Drosophila melanogaster: one gene and its partners. The protein of the gene in region 2 purifies or fractionates together with the protein of the main gene of each other region. This does not show direct contact. Each region holds a gene or a part of one and is shown on either strand. Other genes may lie near its edges.

Evidence for each region.
Region 1: the proteins of Mad1 (region 2) and Ulp1 purify together in Drosophila melanogaster (affinity purification with mass spectrometry, with the first as the bait; one study listed by BioGRID). This does not show direct contact.
Region 3: the proteins of Mad1 (region 2) and RAF2 purify together in Drosophila melanogaster (affinity purification with mass spectrometry, with the first as the bait; one study listed by BioGRID). This does not show direct contact.

The regions. Positions count from the first base shown.
Region 1 is NC_004354.4:19,202,144-19,210,026, forward strand, and holds the start of Ulp1 (Ulp1), read right to left. Parts: upstream 6,045-7,883; 5' UTR 5,891-6,044; intron 5,650-5,890; 5' UTR 5,617-5,649; coding exon 2,930-5,616; intron 2,794-2,929; coding exon 1,921-2,793; intron 1,849-1,920; coding exon 1,684-1,848; intron 1,625-1,683; coding exon 1,423-1,624; intron 1,344-1,422; coding exon 729-1,343; 3' UTR 1-728. Other genes in the region: CG14195 (uncharacterized protein), read right to left, coding at 6,678-6,985, 7,055-7,403, 7,476-7,883.
Region 2 is NT_033778.4:9,288,457-9,293,549, reverse strand, and holds Mad1 (mitotic arrest-deficient 1), read left to right. Parts: upstream 1-1,984; 5' UTR 1,985-2,092; coding exon 2,093-2,213; intron 2,214-2,269; coding exon 2,270-3,324; intron 3,325-3,377; coding exon 3,378-4,189; intron 4,190-4,250; coding exon 4,251-4,455; 3' UTR 4,456-4,593; downstream 4,594-5,093. Other genes in the region: Cog6 (component of oligomeric golgi complex 6), read right to left, coding at 4,638-5,093.
Region 3 is NT_037436.4:16,384,705-16,391,407, reverse strand, and holds RAF2 (RING-associated factor 2), read right to left. Parts: upstream 5,082-6,703; 5' UTR 4,838-5,081; intron 4,783-4,837; 5' UTR 4,772-4,782; coding exon 4,452-4,771; intron 4,388-4,451; coding exon 2,060-4,387; intron 2,004-2,059; coding exon 1,788-2,003; intron 1,730-1,787; coding exon 1,531-1,729; intron 1,473-1,530; coding exon 1,224-1,472; intron 1,107-1,223; coding exon 1,065-1,106; 3' UTR 592-1,064; downstream 1-591. Other genes in the region: CG44836 (uncharacterized protein), read left to right, coding at 56-286; Agpat3 (1-Acylglycerol-3-phosphate O-acyltransferase 3), read left to right, coding at 5,954-5,980.

The DNA of each region.
Region 1 (7,883 bases), on a different chromosome or scaffold from region 2:
TGCAAAAATAAATTATATTACATTATGTACCTTAGGTTATGAAAGGTGTACTACTTCCTAAGGGTTAGAGAAAATCTTTACAAAAACAAAACTAATACCATTAACCCACATTTACCTATATTTGTATAATAAGTATTTGCTTGAATAAGCTACATTTTCAAAAATACTAAATTAAGATTGATTCCTTATTAATATTATCTAATTTATAGGAATATAGCGACATTTTCTTTAAAAAAAAAAAAACCGATAAATTCAAAAATAAACTGGAGTATTAGTATGATTTTCAATTATCAGCGGCTCTGATCTTTTCAACTTAACGATATGAAACAGAAAAGACAATGTAAGAAAAAAATATGAAATCCAGTAATTCCTAGTTTAGAGTTAGGATTAGAGCAGTACATTACATTACATTAGTACATATTCATAGCTTGCTGTATTCTAAATATTAATTATAAACTTGAAGATATTCGGCGATTAATACATCCTTATTCGCATCGCTTTTACTTGGTGACATTTTATTGAAGAAATAGATTCTCTTTTACAATCAGATATGAGAACAAGTTAATGCACCAGCAGGGGTCTCAGCCATCTCGATTCTATCGAATAAACGAGTTCGTTCGATGGCTAAGTACTTGTCGCGAATTCATGCTTGGAGTGTTTACGTAAGATTTGTAAAAATAAGTAAAGAACTGAATTCTCCATTTTTGCGTAGTTTTGTGCTTGAACCCCTACTGCCACAACTTTCCGTCGGCGATTTCCAGGGCCATCTTCGTGCGGAAGTACAACATTTCCGCCTGGGAGAAGGTAATCGGAACATCACGCGTTATATACTCGGCGAACATGCAGCTGAAGACACCGCAATCGCTGCTATTCCCTTGACGTGGTATATTCTGCGCGTTCTCGACAACGAAACCGGTCATATCAAACGGCTGTTTGCGCTTGTCTAGTGACTCTTCGTGCAGATATTTAACTAGAGCATCAAGCGCCGGTTGGTTTGGTCTTCCCATTGAGTCGTAATAGAAGATTGTCTTGTTACGCAAGTGTATGATGGCCATGCACCAGTGGACGTTGCCGCAGTGCACTGGCACCGGTATTATGTCCTTGCTGAACAAGTCCACTTTGCGAGTCCAGCGCCTAACGCCTGCATACCCAGCTTGCAGGAGACGGGGCATGAAGAATGTGTTCATGGCGTAAGTGGCGGGAAGTTCGCCAGCTCGCTTCTCCGAGCGTTCCGTCAGCATGGACATGTAAAAGTTGATGATCGCGTCGTTAAGCCATTCGCCATCAACAAACGTGAATATGTCGTCGGTAGTTATTTGTAGGTTATATTTGAAAATTAAGTTCTGAAATAAGATTTTAAAGCGCAAGCATATAAACGTTTTAAATGGGTACACATATAAATAAATAAATATATTCGTTTACCGTCGTAACCTCAATAGTTGTCATTTCTTGAAAGCGAGCGTGGTCCTCCTTTGTTAGCGGAATGAGCTTGGTCTCTTTCTTCTCTTCCGGCTGTTCCAGGGGCCCGATTTCAAAAAAGGGCCGGTGGGGAGCACCAGACCGGAACATGACTTCCCGCAGCTTTTTTTCATAGGCAAGGCGTTCATCTTTGCTTTCATTAGCCCTAAAATTGGAAAAAAGCCTCTTGGTACTGGGCCTAATTATAGCGTTACAAATACTTACTGCTGTTCAGCTATTCCAAGAAGATGCATGGATTCAAGTTGCCGGCGATTCGCTCTTGCTTTGAAATTTTCCGCAAAGTCATTCCTTAGAAAGATACAGTTGGCAAAGCGACGGTGCAAGAAGTCTGGTTTCTTGATTCTGGTAGTTGTAGGTTGAGGTGCGTCACTAATTGGTGATAAAATCAGGATTTTTGATTATTGCAAATTATTTACGTTTGGATATAAAGCATTTATTTACTTTTCCTTGGTTTCGTTGGCTTCGTTGGCTTCGTTGGCCTCGTTGGCTTCGTTGGCTTCCTTGACCTCCGGGCTATCTTTAACCAACATTGGCTCAGTGTCAGAAGATGAGCAAGTTGAACAAGTGCTGCAGGAGGAAGATGCGCTGCTGGAAATAGTGGACGCATGGCTGGCAGAGCTATTGCTAGCGTTTCGCTTTGGCTGCTGTGGTGCCGGAGACCTGTTCTCCTCATTCTCCTGGCGGTTGATCAATTTGGCGTACTCCGTTAGCTCAGGGTTCGCACGGCCATGTGGCGACGGGAACGAATCTGTTATATTCGATTGGTTGTCTTGCAGTGAGCAGCTGCTACTGGTTGCCGACTGGGCTTTAGCCCGCTGAAACGTTGGCGGGGTACCCGGCTTGAGGTAGCGACTGCCCACGTAATTTGTTTGGGTACGGATAAGTTCGTTATACTGCTCTTGATCCTTGCAGTTCATCTCGTGGGACAGAATGCTTCTGTGCAGCCGAGACGGTTCTCTGCGCACCGTATGGCTGGAGTGCCCATTTACGCGCGACTCGGAGATGCCATTATGGCCTAGACGCACCGCATCCGAGTAAGTCATGGGCCTGGATGATGGGCCCGCGTTAGCAAGTCTCTGTGACGACTCCTCATCGTCAAATGGCGTAGGTACGTGGGGGGCATCATTGCGCACTCGGTGCTGCGTGTATACCGGCGGATTAAATATTGAGAGCCGCTTTGAGCTCTGGGGCTGATCCCGCTTGGCCATCGAATTGTTGGGAATCAGGTCCTCGGCCGTCTCATTCGTTATCAAGCGGGGAAAGCTGTTGTCCACACGCCGGTACTTGATCAGACGAGGGTTCTCTTCTTGGTTGCTGAAAGTAGAGAAAAAACATTAATTGAAATTTTTACATGGGAGTAGCAATGAATGACATAAAATTGTTGCGCAGGCTTACCTAGTTGGATTTAGGTAAACAAAATTAAAAATAACATAAAATTCTTAATGCTTACCGTCTTTTCTGGGATAAAAAACTATTTTCCGGCTGGCGGCCGGCACCAAAACCTTTTCCGTTTTGAGCCTGGAATCCCGTTCCGGTATCCGTGGAGTCCGTTTCGCTTTCTCTGGAAGAATACCAACCGGATAGCATACCACGGATCTTTTTTAATATTTCTAAGCCCATCGAAATGTCTTCTTGGAGGTCTCTTTTCGGCGTGGGGCGTGGAGGTATTTCCTTAGTTTGCTCGAGAATCTCTCTCAGAATGGAGATGATCTCATCGGTGGCCCGGCCGTGTATAATTTCGGTTAGAACCTTATGGCACACATCGGCTAGCTTCTGGCGGAGAAGGAAAATTGACTTCCGGTGGGCTTCGGCTTCGGGTTGCTCTGGATCGGCCACCAGACTTTCAGAGATATCGCGAATTAGATTGAAGGTTTTGCGAATACAAATAGTGCTCGGATCGAGTGACTCTAGCTGCTCCCAATGTTCAGGTGAAACGGGGTCTGATATATCTTCTGAAGTAGATCCTGGTTGAGCTTCAGCGGGCGGTAATGGTGTCGAGACCTCATCAACAAAGTTCTGATGCTCGTGGCCTGTGTAACTAACCAGTTCTCTGTCCCGTTGGCCTTCGTTTACCTCGTATGCTGGTTGAACCTCAAAACTGTTTTCCTGGGATATTTCCAATTGAGGTACGTACGGAGTCGCAGTTTGTATAGTTTGTATATACTGGACCTTAGAATAAGCCTGGTTAGAGTGGATGGTGAATTCCTGCTGAATATACTGCCTCTCTTGGATATGATCTTTCTGACCTTTCTGCTGGTATTCAGAAAAGGGCTGCAACTTTCTCTTTTTGACCTTAGATTCGAACTGGTGGGTTTGCTTCTGGATCTGTGGTACACTCAGCTGATCTTGCTTCTGGAGCTGGAATTGTTGGTTCCCCTCAAAATTCAGGTAATGTTGATCTTCCTCTTGGTCTTCCGGTGTTAACTGCTCGTTTTCCTCCTGGATGTATGTTGCGAACGGGATGTCGGTTACATTGTGATAATTTTGTTTGTGAGTGTCAGTAACAATCTGCAGATCTCGCTTCTCGATTTCAGATGCGAACTGGAACCTTTCCTTTTGGAGCTCGGCTGTTTGTTGATCTTGCTCCTGATTATCAGATGCGAACTTTAGATCTTCATTATCATAATGGATCTCGATTACGAACTGAGGACTTTGTTGGTTTTTCTCCTGGATTTCAGGTATAGTGTGCAGATCATCAGATTCGAACTTTAGATCTTCATCATCGTCATCCTGGATCTCGATTACGGACTGAGGACTTTGTGCCTGTATATCAGTAACAGAAGGAGATGCAAGCTTCGTAACTTCGGTTACGATCTGCTGGTTTTGCTCCTGAATCTCAGCAGAAAACGAGAGATTTTCCCATTGGATTTCGGAGACAGCCGAGTAATCCTCCTGGGTCTCGGTTATAGTCTGATGATTTTGCTCTTCAGTTACAATCTGGTGATTTTGCCCTTGAATATCAGACGAGGTCTGGAAAACGTTCACTTGGATTTCGGGGGCAGTCTGGTGAACTTCCTCCTGGATCTCCGTTACAGACTGGTGATTTTGCTCCTGGATCTCTATTACAACCTGAGGACTTTGTACCTGTATATCAGTAGTGACAGGAGATGCAATCTGAAGACATTTCTCTGGGATCTCGGTTAATGTCTGTTGGTTCTGGTCCTGAATCTCAGAGGCACGCGTGAGATTTTTTTCTTGGACTGCAAGGACAATCTGGTTTTCATCCCGGATCTCAGTTAAAGTCTGATCCTGAGCCTCAGTTGCAATCGGATGATTTTGTTCCGAGATGCCATTTTCAAATTTCTGATCTTGCTCCTGGATATTATTGATTTGAATTTCGGGGACAACCTGGTGGAATTGCTCCTGGCTCTCAGTTATAGTCTGGGGATTGTGCTCCACGATATGTAATATAATCGGTTGATTATTCTCGGAGGCCTGATCGCATAGTTGGATTCCCGTTCCTATATGAATGTTTTGTTGATATAGGACTGGCTGATTGTTGTACTGCTGGACATAATATGCGACCTGGTTGTTTTGGTCAAGATCGATCAGGGCATCAACTGTAAGGGTGATGGTCGGTAGTGATGGTGGTTCTGGCAAGGGGGATGGAAATCGCAGTCTTATCGGCGAATCTATCAATGGACAATTTTGCAGCTCATGGAGTTGATGTATTGGCGATCCATCTGGAGAGTAACGCTGATTCGGAACTGGGACACACCGCGGCAGCAGCGGCGAGTAGTTCTGGCTAGGGAACGTAAATCGTGAATCCCCTGGCGGGGAACAATACGCATTAGTGTTCAATGTCTCGAATGCCTGTTCAGTTGGCAATAAGTGCGATGTCGGGAGACCTTGGTTCTCCGCCCATAGGAGTTGTGTTGCTGTGGCGTTGGCTGCTGCTTCTTCCGATCCTCTTGGCGCTACTGACGGATTACCCCAACTTGGAAACGTGCTGCGGCGTGAGTCCACATGAGACGCGACGCGCTCAATCACGTTCGGGTGAGCTGCTGGCGACGGCGAAAATCGCTGTCCTACTGCCGAACCGACTACTCGTGCTGCCGACACATTGCTCGCGATTTGGAGTGCGGATTCGTATGCGGAATTTGTGGACAAATCGGTGTCCTCGGGAGGCAGCGACATGCGTGTGTTCGCTACCGCTTTCGCTACTTTTAGCTGCAAATTGAAATTTAATCAGAAATTATTTTTCCACACGCATTCGCTTTCAAGAATCGCAAGAAGAAGAATAAGCAAAAAAGGAAAACGAGCCGGCAAAAAGGAAGCCCGATTTTGCGCATTTTTCGCTGTTTTTCGCCGTCTTTGCTTGGTGCCACTTCTGCGGCCGCCGGAAAATGCCGACGCTGCTATTGCACCGCACTGAGTGCCACACCACAAGCGCCTTGCAACAAACACTTACCCCTTGGCCAGGTTTTAAACAATGTACACTTTTCACTGTGACTTGAGAAAATTTTCGCAACTTAGCTCGATGAAAATTGAGTAAAGAAAGAAAATTTCGGTTTTGGCGTACTGGTGCCTTAGTATGACCGTACAAGATATTGCTCTATAATACCAAACCAATCGATATCGGCCAACAGTGTTGGGTCTGGCTGCCGCATCATAGCAGGCAGCTTTCGTCACGCAGCGAATGTAATTACCTAGAAATATCTGAGGAAATAACGGCATTTAGTCTTACTGTAAAAATACGACAAATTCGGTGAAAAGGGAAATTTTTCGTCAATATTTTCCAATAATATTTCAATATTTTCAATATTTCTTACACAGCGAATTTTGTAAGAACATGCATTTTTTTTAGTGTGCGACAGATTTCTAAAAAATTGAACCAATCTCTAGAATGAACGCAACATTTTATACTTTTAAACTTATTTTAATCGGAAAAAAACTGTCCACATTTCCAAAGTACAGTAGTCAGCACAGCTTAATGGAAAAATAGCTAAAAGGCTATAGCTACTTCTGTAGCAGTTCTTTAGGGATATTTTAAAGGCCAGCATTCCATTCTTTTTTCAAATTGACGTAATAAGACTTTTAAGACTTATGTTAAAATGTATGTAGCTTGCTTATAGTTTATATATTTATTTATTAATATCACTGCACAAATACAACAACAACGTCAGCCACAGCAGCACACACACACACACACATACACGATGCCTTGTTGTGTGAGAGTGCGCGAATTCTTCAGTCCCTCAATCCTTGCTCTGGCAGCAGAAGAAGAGGAAGTTCCAGAGCAGCGTGGTAGTTCCGTAAAGGGCGCCGGCCAGTCCCACGGTGGCCTGGAAGGAGTACCGCTCCACCACCCAGTGGGCCAGCGCGCCCCAGAGGAGAACCAGCAGGCCGTTGGTGAAGTGCACCGGACGGCGGATGGCCGTCCAGTTGGCCCGCGTCATGCCCATCTGGAAGACCAGCTCCTGCAGAAAGGCGGTCACCACCTGGCCAAATCCCAGCAGCACGGCGGACACACTGAGCAGCAGCTTGGAGGTGGAGAAGCTGATGACTGGAAGCGAAACAAAAGATGGATCTATTGATGGCCCGGGGAAAGCTTGAAACGGGTATCATGACTCACAGATCAGCGCCAGGCACTTGCAGATGCTGCCCAGCGTGTGCCACTGGAGCTTCCGCTTATAGAGGCTCGTGCCGAAGCGCGGAGTCATCAGGGAGAAGCACATCCATGGGAAGGCCAGCAGCGAGAAGAGGAACGGGATCTCGGCGTTCTTCAGCGCATGGTGGCTGACCGCCAGTCCGGGTAGCACCGTCAGGCACATCACGTAGCTAAAGATGTCCGCCGAGAGGAGCAGCGTGGTGGCGTACAGCTGCGGCACCAGCAGCGCCTGCTGCAGCGGCATGGCGATCTTGTCCAGCAGATTCCACCACAGGTGCGTGGTTACCGCACGCGACATCCGCCGGATGCGGCGCTGAAAATGAGGAGCATACGGAAAGGTTTCACATCCGGTCACCATATTCCACAAAGCCTGCGCACTACTCACCAGGTTGGCATAATCGGGAGGTAGGGGTGAGGAGCTACCTGTACCAGTTCCCGTTCCTGTGCCCAAAGGATGCTGGGGCGTCAGTGGATAGAGACGTCCATTGGACAGGGACTTGTGCGACATCTGCGAGGCGGACATGGCATAATTGTCGATGGTCGCATTGCTCGACCGCATCATGGACACCGTCTCGTCCTCCTCGGGTATGATCTCCATAATCTCCACCCCGTTGGGATTCACATACGTCACATACGCCTCATCGGTGGCCAGCATGTAGTTGCTGTGCGTGTCCACCACCACAGCGGCGGCGACGGCACCACTGGGCGTGGCCATTTCGGTGGTGGCCGGATTCCGCCATGAGAGCGTGTCCAATCCGTCCAGCTGGTCCGCCACCAAGTTGGCCGCCAGTGC
Region 2 (5,093 bases):
GATGCGGACGCGAGTGCGGAGCATCCGCAGCGATACGCCTTGCTAGATACACTCGCCAAAGGTTGTCATATGAAAAATTCACATAGATGGAGCAGAGTGCCTGTAGTTTAGGCCAGGCATGAATCGTATCCATTGCACCCATACTCAAGCAGCAAAATAAAAATTTGCCTAATCTTCTCTAGAAGTTGATTTATTCATGCATCCTGTTGTGTTGCTCTATAAAGAACCTATCTTTCGTTCAGCTGACCACGTAAAGAACAAAATATCTACAAAGACCAAGTCAAAGAAATATTAAAATATATTATAAATTTTACTTTGTTCAAATTGCATGTTATTAAAAAAAATCTATTACCTAGTATTATTTTTGATTATTTTGTTTCTACTGCTTAATTAAAAAATTCATTCCTACAGAGAATAATTATTTGTTACACGCAGCATTTTTATTATTAAGTTGTAGTGTTGGGTTAAACTTCTTTGGAAAAATATGACATAGGGTTAACTGTTTTAATGTTGGGAGAGGCTAACACCGTTGGTTGCAGATGTGAATGATGGGGGATGGTGATGAAGTGAGAACAGCTGATTTTGGCAAAGTAACTTGCGGTACCGTGGTGATCGGGAAAACTAAAACGGTTAAGCCGTAGTTGCCGGCTTTGCTTTGCTTTTAGCACGTTTGCACTTACCTCTCTGGCCATTACGACATGTTATCACCAGCGGCACCCGCTTAGAGGGTCTGCCATTTGCTCAGCGGCAATAACAACAAAAACAACACGGGAGCGCCTCTTAGAGCGAGGGAGTGGGAGAGGCAACAACAAAGCACACGCTTTTCGCGATACGAGAACTCTCGTGCGTCTACTTAAGTATGTGTGTGTGTAGGCGGCAAGCGGTATAGACGGAGAGACAGAGAGAAAGAGTGTGGGAGGAGTGTGTGCGTGTGAGTGTCTCAAAAATTCTCTACTACACGTTTATTTTCAATCTTCTCTTCCCGCACATTTCTCCAACGCGCCGATGCTGTTTCGTTCTTCCTCTTGCTTTTCTATCCTGTCCTTTGGCTTCCTTTCCTTCTTCCTCTCCACACCAATCACTGCGTGGGTATGTGTGTATAGGTGTGTATTGGAATTCGCAAAGGTATTTGATTAGGAAAGCTGGGATTTGTTTAAACAATTAGCATGCATCACTTTTTGCAAATTTGTTACAGTAACTTGGGTCAACCCACGCCCACTTTTATAGGTGCGGCTGTTGGGCAGGATTTGCTTTTTGGCAGTGGTGGTGGTGTACGTGTGCGGGATGCTTCTGTGTGCGTGCGAGAGAGCACATTGGAGTACCGTTATCGCTGGAGCCACATTTTCTTATTTGACATACACTTTTTTGTTGCACACGCACACGCGTTTCGTTGTTTTTTTTTTGTTACTTTAGTAAAATTTATTTTCTATACTCTCTTTCTTGAAAGCTTTCTTTTAACCGTTTTTTGTCCTTATCTCTTGGTATGTACGACACACACGCTTCACATACGTTCTAGTTTTTGGCAGTTGTTCAATTGTTCGAATTAATTCCGATTTCGGAATTTGTTGTTTTAACGATTTATGAGTTTTTTCGGTGCGGAAACAATAACATTTAATTCATTTTAAGCCGAGAAGAAATGCAAATCAATTTTTATTTTCGGCAACACTCGAAGAACTATCGTTATCGATTGCGATTTCTTTTACCTGTAGTATTTCGTGTAACATACTTTTGGGTGGTGCAGAAAAGAGTCACGCTCGAATATACTAAACTGGGCTGCCAACTTAGCTTTTGATTTGTTTTCTTGATTTTATATTAACACACCAAATAAAGAAATTGCTTAAGACAACTGTCCCTTTTAAGATATTATTTCCCAGATTAATATACGTATATTTGATTATTGGTGACAATTTTGGATACAAAAGCCAAAGTTATCGGCCACTTTAATACTAATAAAATATGACCAATATTTGGCATTTCTTGTCTAAATATTTGCAGCCACTCTAAGATTAATATTTTACCAACTTCTTTTAGCAATAAAAAGTAAATATCTTTACTGAAAACGTCAACTAAGGTCTCCCACATACAACTTAAAATGGACGACATACGTAGCAGCATAGATGATATGATGGACCGCTTTAACGACAGCATTACCCATTCGGCACCCAAGAAACTACTTTTCAACCGGCTTTCCGCCTCCTTCGATTTAGGAGTTTGTAAGTTGTAATTTACAGGCGCGAACGTAGAAACTAACAAGTAACTCCTCTACTAGCACCCAATAAGCGACGTCGGGAACGGGAATCACCGGAACGCAGTCTTAACGACACCGCCTCTTCCCTCAATATGCCCGCCAACGATTCCATGGCTTCTTTGCAGAACAGCAAACTACGGACCGAGCTGATCGAAACCAAGGCCATAGTAATTCAGCTGCGTAACGAAATCGAAAAGAAGAGCCGGGAACACAAAGAGGCCATATTGCTGGCTGAGAACAAGAGCACGGCCTTAAAGGATCAGTGCGACATCACCAGCAAGAAGAATTTGGAGCTGCAGGACGATCTTAAGGCGCTTCGTAAGCGAGAGCTGGTCTTGAAGAATGAGGCCAGTCGGGCCACCGCCGAGTTGAACCAACTTAGGCTTAAGTTCGATGAATCCACGCTCAAGTTGCAGAAGGAGAAGTACCTGCAGAAGGAGGATGCCCGCGATGTGCACCTGTGCATCAACAACGAACTGAGCGAATATCGCCGCATAGCCCAGCGGGCCGATCTCGAACTGCAGTCTACGCGCAACGAACTGGAGCGCCTACGTCAACTCAATGAGGAGTTACAGGCCAGGGCTTCCGGATTCGAGCAGCTGCGCGCCAATCACGAGAAGCAAACGCAAAGCTTGAAGGTGGCCAACGATCGCATTCAGGAGCTGGAGTTCGAAATTCAGTCGTATAGCGACTGGAAGGAGGTGGTCAAAACCTCACGAGAGCGCCTGGCCAGTGTTCCAGATTTGCTAGCTGAGGTGGAGCATCTGCGCAGCCACAACAAGCATTTAAACACTCTGATAGGCGATAAATTGCTTCTGGAGGAGCAGGTCTACGACTACAAAACGCGACTGGAGCGGGAGGAAGGTGCTCGGGCGGAAGCAGCTTCCCTGCAGGTGAAACTGCTTCACATGGAGCAAGAACTCAAGGAATGGGTCAAGGTGGCCCAGGATCACTGCTTGGCCAACACTTTGGTCAGCCCAATGGCCCTACGCTCGCGCATTGAGCAACTGCTAAAAGAAGACATCATTCACGTGGCAGAGAAGACATCATCGGCTTCGGATACCAAGCATTTGAATGTAGGTTTTGTCCAATGTGTTCCAAGTCCAATTTATCTGACTCCATTTTATAGACCACAATTCGAGATCTAGAGCATAAGTGCGCCATTTACTTGAAGAACATCGAGGATCTCAATATCGGACTGAAACGCCACAAGAACTTCAAGGAGCGACTGCAGCGCAAACTGATCACCGTGTCTAAGGAGCGCGACTTCTACAAACAACTGGTGGAAAACTTCGACAAGGACACGACCCTGAGCAATGCCAGTGTGGCGGACATGACGCAGGACATGCAGGTGCGGGTCCGAATGGAGGTGCTTGAACGCACCGTAACCGGATACAAGGACATGTGTGCCACGTTGGAACGCGAGATTCAATCCTTGCGCCAGCAGGAGCTTGTGAACGAACCTGCCGGAGAGGGATACGATAGCGTCAAAAAGGAACTGGATACGCTGCGGATGGAAAACGATCGGCTGCGTCGGCGCAAGGAGGAACTGGAGATGGAGATGATGCACCGCTGCTTGCGGGGCGACTTCAACATGAAGGACTTCAAGGTGGTACACTTTAGTGAAAATCCCGCTGCCGAAGCCTATGAGTCCACCAAAAACATGATGGAGAAGCTGCAGGCGGAGATTGAGCGACTCAAGCGGCGCAACAAGAAGTTGGAGGACGATAACGAGCAAAGGCTCAATGAAACCACCAGCACGGGCGGCATGACACTGAACTTTAAGGAGTTCAATCAACTTCAAGCCGAATTAGAGTCCGCCAATGGCAAGATGCGGAAGATGAGGGATTGCTTCAAGGCGGCCCGAGAGGAGTTCCGCGATGTGTGCTACATGCTGCTAGGCTATAGGATCGATCGAATCGGTGCCAACAGCAACTATCGGTGGGTAGCGATTCCATAGATCCTCCATCTTAGTTGCTAACATTTAATATTTCTCTTGCAGCATATCGAGCATGTTTGCAGAGGGACCGGATGACTATCTGGACATCAGCCTCAACGAATCGAACTGTTTGGCGCTACTGGAGTCGCCATATTCGCACACATTCAATCCACCTATTGATCAGCAGCTGGCAGCCAGCAACTTTCCCGCATTCTTTTCCGCCCTCACCCTAGAACTATTCCAAAAGGCCACTGTCACGATGACTTAGGTCATCATTACTTTAGTCTGTCTTAGCTTAAGCTAGCCGAGTATGAAGGCATTGAAACTTATTCTTGTCCGCATCAGATATACGATTGGTTTTTTATTTTACCACGCTAACAATAAACTTCCCCACATATAAATACATATAAATTATAGTAATGCACAATAGAAATTGGAATACCCAATCCACTAAGTGGAGGTCAGGATGTGAGCCACCTGCTCCGGCGTTCTGTGCAGCAGCTGCTCCGGCTGCTCGAAGCCGTTGGCCGGATCGTGGACGCGTTCGTAGATCTGCTTGTAGATGGCCACGATCACGTTGAAGGATCGCTTCTGAACGGCGGCCCGGTGACTGCTGGACATTATGAGCTGCACCTGCGGCAGGAGCAATACATCGGGTAGTTCCAGAAAGGCGTCCATCTTGGACATGAAGATCTTCAGCAGGTTTGTTTCTATTTTAGATTGATTGCTCTGCAGAATGGCGTAGATGGGACCCAGATTGAGGTTCGCCACCAGCGATGATGCCTGCTCGGAGGTCAGTGTGTCCAACTGGGCATCCGACTGCGCCTGCAGCCGCTCCACGCGCTCATCCATATATTCGTAGACAGCCAGCGAGCTTTGCATGTGATGCAGACAGTTCAAAAGGTA
Region 3 (6,703 bases), on a different chromosome or scaffold from region 2:
CACACAAACACACACCCTTCCACACTTATTGAATCCAATCCCCTTTCGATTCCAGCACAGCACCAAGCAGAGCATTCGATTATGGTGGCAATATGCCTACAAGTGCGTCACGCCCTCCGCCTCGGCCGGTGCCGTCTGGAATCCGAATCTGAAATTCCGGCTCTACTGCAGCCGGCAGCTGCGCATCCGGAAACTGAGACGTGGTCCGTGGTCCAGGAGGCAGCCACTCCGGCTGCATATAAATGACATCAAACTGATGTGCCAGGTGCGCAGGCGCAGTAAATAAATGAGGCGATGGCAAAGCCCTAAATGATCTGAAAAAATTCCATTATACGAATTATATGTTATCAAAGTTTAGTCGAATTTCACAGAAAATTCTGTTTGAAATTTGAACAATAAACTTGGCGCCATTTATCGATAGACCAAGCCAACCAGTTCTGCAAACGGTAAAATTTTATATTTTATAAGTACCAATTTTAAAACACTTTCTATTATTGTATTAAAACGTCTCATCATTTTCTTTATTTTGTTGAACTAATACTTTTTGGTTCAATAGTCTTCCCAAAAATTAAATAATAAGTGCTTGTAAATAAATATGAACTTGTTTATTTTGCCTTTAGCATGGAATTACATCCAAAGAAACAGAAAATAAATATATTAATTCTTAAATAGATATCTTTTATGTAGCAAACAAGAAGTCAAGGATATTTAATTTTCAAACAAAAAAAGTGGGAAAACGAGGAACATTTTATCAATACGATTTTGAAACAAAATGAATTTCGCGCGTTGTTCATAAGCAAATTGGAATCAATTATTAAGGAATTATAATTATTATATTTAATCCCTACCAACTTATAATAGCTAGGCATATTACACTTTAAATTGTGCTTCATTGATTGAGTACAATTGCAAGCACTTAATTCAATAAAACGCAATTGAAAATGGTCCGCCAGTGTCCTGTGTCCTTCAGTGAGTTACACGGTTGAGTAAATATATAGTAGTGCATATGCGATACGTCTATATAGTTATGTTTTAGTAATGCTGATGTCCTAAGTGAAGTCTATTTAAATGCCACAAGTTCGGTGATGTGTGTCCCAATCGCTCAGCTATAACGAATGTATTATAAAAGATAGGTAAACATGAGTACTTTTCCTTCAATGCGTCACTGGATAAAACAATTTAAAAAAATGCATAAAATACATAATAAATCCTACAATGCTTACCTGGCATTCACGACTGCAGTACCATTGATTCTGACAGTTGGAGCACATAAAGGTGGCTCCATAGAGCTTGCACTCGTGGCATTGTCTACCTGTGTTACCGTTGATGGTGGCGGAAGATTCAGCCTGGGACTTATGGGAGCTCCTATGCTTGTGAGACTTGTGCTTATGCGACTTGCGCTTGTGAGACTTGTGCCTCTTTTGGACATTCTCATGGTCGTTGATATTAGCGGAATGTTGTTCTTGGTAGGACTGAATAGAAACATTTATTTTCGCGGAATGTCAAAAAATATTGTGATTAAGTGCATACCTGTCTATTGGCCAGTTGGCGACGGGAGGCCATCGGACTGCTGTTGAACAGCGGTTCGATCTGTGATTCATTATCCGAATTATTGTCCTCCATTGAGACGTTACTAAAATGCGAATAATTTTTCCAAGCCCTAATCTTGCGAAGCGTCTCTGAAAGATTGGCTGACAAATGTGTCGAGGAGCTTGCCATGTCCTGGTTACTATAAATTATATGACGTTAAAATAATATGTTCTAGTATATTATTTGTATTTTCTCACCTGTCTTGCGAGTGGATTAGCTTCGGTCGCTTGGCTGGCGGATCTCTGTCTGGATTGCTATCTAGCAGATGGTCATTTACCGCATTCCGAGATTCGTAATGCTGATCCCGCATTGATAGATGACTTACGGGCAAGGAATCTCTACGAAAAAGCATTTGGTCATCCTCGAAATTGGCCGGAGACACGGACGGTGCGCGTTTATTTAAGCCCAAGGAACTGAAAACGATCAATTTTAACTTGGGATTCTCAGAATTAAACATTTAAAGATTTACCCCCGCAGAAGCTGTATGATGTTCTGGTTTAACTCGGCGTAATTCAGTAATTTTTCAATTGCCGACAAACTATGTTTGGAGGCCATTGGAGAATCGATTTCCTCTTCTAGCATAGCCTTTACCTCACTGAGCTCCTTGGTGCCGCACTTGTTGATAAGGATGGGCAGTAGGTCCTTAATACGTATCAAGCGCTCCTTTCGCTCCATTCGTTCATGCAGCTCCTTCTTAATGCAGCTCAAATACAGCAGTCGGTTATATTCATCCTCTTTCTGGGCCATCAGCTTATCTAGGGCTGCAAGATCCGCAACGATGCGTTCGCGCTCTTTTTTCAATGAATCTTCATCAGGGGGTACCGAGTTAATTTTATCAATCATTGTCGAGTTCAATTCATCGAAAAGTTCTTTGACGCGATAATGGAAGTTTGCATCACTATTATTGAGATCAACGAATGACTTTTGGCGGGTTGTCGAAGAAGAAGCCGCTGGTGACCCCAAGCCCTGCGTCTGGGTGCTCACCGTTTCCGATCGACGGGGTTGCGGCTGTTGGGGCACCGCAAAGTTGGGAGCAGCCACTGGAACAGGATGCAGTTGAGATGGCGATTGATGGACCTGCTGTGATTGGGCAAGCTGATGTGGACTAGCATGCCTTTGAGGGGTCAACGGCTGCACCGAAGCTGGTCTTGATGAATCTGGCTGCTGTGGTGGAGGAGCTAGCTGCTGTGGTGGAGGAGCTAGTTGCTGTGGTGGAGGAGCTAGCTGCTGTGGTCGAGGCGCTAGCTGCTGTGGTGGAGGAGCTAGCTGCTGTGTTGGAGCTAGCTGCTGTGGCGGAGCCATATGTTGTGGTGGAGCCATATGCTGTGTGGGAGCTCGCTGTTGTGGCGGAGCCAGCTGCTGTGGCGGAGCTCGCTGCTGTGGCGGAGCTCGCTGCTGTGGTGGAGCTAGCTGCTGTGGTGGAGCTAGCTGCTGTGGTGGAGCTAGCTGCTGTGGTGGAGCTAGCTGCTGTGGCGGAGCTAGCTGCTGTGGCGGAGCTCGCTGCTGTGGTGGAGCTAGCTGGTGTGGTGGAGCTAGCTGGTGTGGTGGAGCTAGCTGCTGTGGCGGAGCTCGCTGCTGTGGTGGAGCTAGCTGGTGTGGTGGAGCTAGCTGGTGTGGTGGAGCCAGCTGCTGTGATGGAGCTAGCTGCTGTGGAGATGGTCTATGTTGAGCCAGGTGCCGTGGTGGAGCGAATGGAGCTGTAGCCAGTTGCTGTGGAGGAGCTCGCTGCTGTGGTGGAGGAAGCTGCTGCGGTGGAACTGATCTTGGGAAGTGCATCTGTTGCACGGGGGCTTGTTGTAGTGGAGCAACCTGAGATGGAGCTCTCTGCGCGAGGGCAGCCACTTGTGGTGCAGCAGCATAGGATGCAGCGACTTGGGATAAAGCTGTCTGTTGAATCGAGAAAGTCGCATTAGCTTTCATGTTATTTGACAGCTTTTCGTTGGGATAGGATATCTGCATTTGGGTGGCCGTTGGCGGTGGAGTATTTAAACTGTAAGTGTCAGCTTGCTTGGCGGCAGTAGGCGGAGCCAGGGTATACGGTGTGCTCAGCTTAAAAGCCTGCTGACGCTGAAGAGGATTAGTCGATGGAGTGGTGGGCATTCTTAGATTTAATGGTGGAGCTGCCTCCATTGGCTTCTGTTGCTGCACCGTTGAAAACCCAATTATATTATCATCCTCGACTTCATTGTTGCGCTTCTCTTCGCTAGCGGGCGGTGTTACCGAACGGCGTCTTTTAAGAGTGGCATCAACCACAAGCGACTCTGCCTCATTTGGCGCATCTCGCGACCGGTCCTTTAGAGCCTGTTCCAATTCCCGACACGCTGAGAGTTTACCGTAGTCGAAGACCGGTTCCTGGGGATCCTTCTTTACCAGGAACTCGTCGAGGATAGAGGCACCGTTTTCGTTGTTTCCAAGTGGGTTTGCTTTCTTCCTTTCTGGCAGCTCGTAGTTTAGTTGGGGTGGAGCCGGAAGCGTAGGCTTATTTTCCTTGATGGGCGTAACCCTTGCCGGCTCTTGCTCTGGTTTCTCAGGCGAATCCTCGTTCTCCGTGTCGTCAAGGCAAATGAGTTCCGGCGAACCACTGCCGCTGCGGCTGCGAGAATAGCTACGACTACGACTGCGACTGCAACTTCGGCTAAGACTGCGGCTGTGGCTGCGACTACGACTGATGCTCCTGCTGTCGTAGGTTCTGCGCTGCCTGTCATGGAAGCGAACCAGGTGCTTCAATTTACGCTTGGGCAGCAAGTCCTTCAGGCCGTCAAAATAGCTGTTGTAGTCCATTTTATTGGGTCGCAGCCTGAAGTGTGATCGGATAAGATAGGATTACAGTTTCAGTAGGTTCTTTGGGAAGTAAGCCTTACCAACGAATACTGCGACGCTTGAAGTAAAGATTGGGCAGCCTGCCACGCTGTAACTGCAATTGCCGGATCCGCCGAATTGTTTCTGAGCGCGTGGAAGGTGGCACCGCATCGTCATCTGGCTTTTCATTTTTCTCAGTGGCAGCCGCCGATTCTGGAGCTCCATTTCCGGGTTTCTCGGACTCGGATCCCTTGGATTTTGTCTTTTGGGGTCGTTGCTTGCTCACCGCCGCGTCCATTAGAGCGTCGTATTCCTCCTCCTCGTGGCTATACTCGTCGCTACTTAGCTGCGAATTGGAGGAGTCGTAGATCTCGTTGGACATTAGGCCTGCAACTGGACGACGGTCAGGTATGTACATCTTTTGGCATTAACCCCCTCAAAAACTCACGCGCTCACGTCTGCAAATTTTTGGCCAACAAAAAATCGTCTGCCGGTTGAATATTCTAATCCGCCGACGGGCTCACCTTTTCAGTTGCTGAAAACCACTTAAAACAATGGCCCAAGTCCCCAAATAGGCTAATTCGGGTTTATACCAGTTTTAAAGCGTTTACTTTCAGCAAAAATCCAATTTCCAAATGCGAAAAAAAATTCGCCGTTCAATTCTGCGAATAATTTTGACAGGCATTTAGTATGGACGCAAACCAATAGGGTAACCACTTTTGGGAAAGTCTTTAAATAATACTGAATAAAATATGTTCTTCCAACTAGTTCTTAGTTAGGTAAACCAAGCAAACAAATTTTTAATCTTATTAAATTAAAGTAATCTAGTAATCTTATTAAATATTACTAGTTTCGGGGTATTCGGTCATTTCATATCTAAAAACCAAATAACTATATTAGAATAAGTTACTCACTAGAGTTTCATTTTTTGATTTATGGAAAAGTTAGCGTAGATCAAAAATCAATCATTAATAAGCTATAAGTTGTAGTGCAGATCGTTAGCCAAATTATTCAGATTTCCTTTACAACATTGCAACCTGACAGCCCTGGTGGCAAATATTAAATATTGAAAAATACTAAAGGCAAAAGTGGCGATTTTCCGTTTGTTCACCGGTGTCATCGTCATTGCACTCGAACGGTCATACCGTTTGGCTTACAAAAGAAAACAAATCAATTCGCACAAAAACATTGCCAAAAAGGTAAATGGCGGGCACGACGCCGCCGAGTGATAACCATATAGTAGTGACCAGTGTTTAGCAACCGATTCCCGCCCAGTGACACTCGTAAACAAAGGGCACGACCGACAGTGTCTGTATATATATGTGCATATGCGTAACAGGGAATAACCGATAAGAACGGCGCAGCTGCAGATAGACATACCTTTAAATAGGACTTTGTTTATTGATCGTTTGTGGGTGGCTATTGCCTTGCAGATCGCGAACTGATAACCATAAATGTTAACCACGTCACGCCACCCCACGCCTCTCCCAAACACACACACTCGCACACGTGCGCCAGCTGAGCACATGCATACGTATATGCATGCTCACACGCACACAATCGCATGGTCGTGCACAAGAACTCTTTTGTTGTATGTAAAGTGGACGATCGAAAAAGTAAACTAATTCAATACAATGGGTTCAGCAATCAACGTCGGGGTCACCAATTGAGTGCATCAAAAATACAATCAATTCGGCCCGGCGAATTTTCGGTTGATTCAGCTAATGGCGGTGTGCATAAGAAATGGCATGAAAAGTACTCCTTTTTTCATTGGATTTAAATCCCATTATCATAGGAAGAAATAAGAAATTTAAAAAAAGCAGTGCTTGTCAACTGAATGCATTCATTTCTATTACAAAAACGTAGTGCGTTCCATTGTGCATGTAAATATATGCAGTCCCAGTTTTATATTACGTGTCAAAACAAAAGATTGACCTTTATCATTGGTCGTTTTACAACCATTGTTTATAACTTTGTAGAAATACAAATAAAAACTTCTTTGATAAACTTTATCCGCTGACATGTTTTAAATCATAATTTAAGTAAATCATGATCATTTAAATAATAATCTCAATATATAATACCTATTACTTTAGTTTATTTAAAATCCGAAAATCGTTTCGAAACTTATTTAAATTTGCTTAAATTGAAATATCTAAAATATCCGAAGCCAAGTATTATTTAATAAGAAATATGAATAGCTAAACGCCTTAATGAAATGATTTAATTAGTTTAAAGTTTTAAAGTTGTCGTTTTTACTCATAATTAAAACGGTCGTAAAACTTTAGTACTTTTTTAAAACATCTCCATGTAC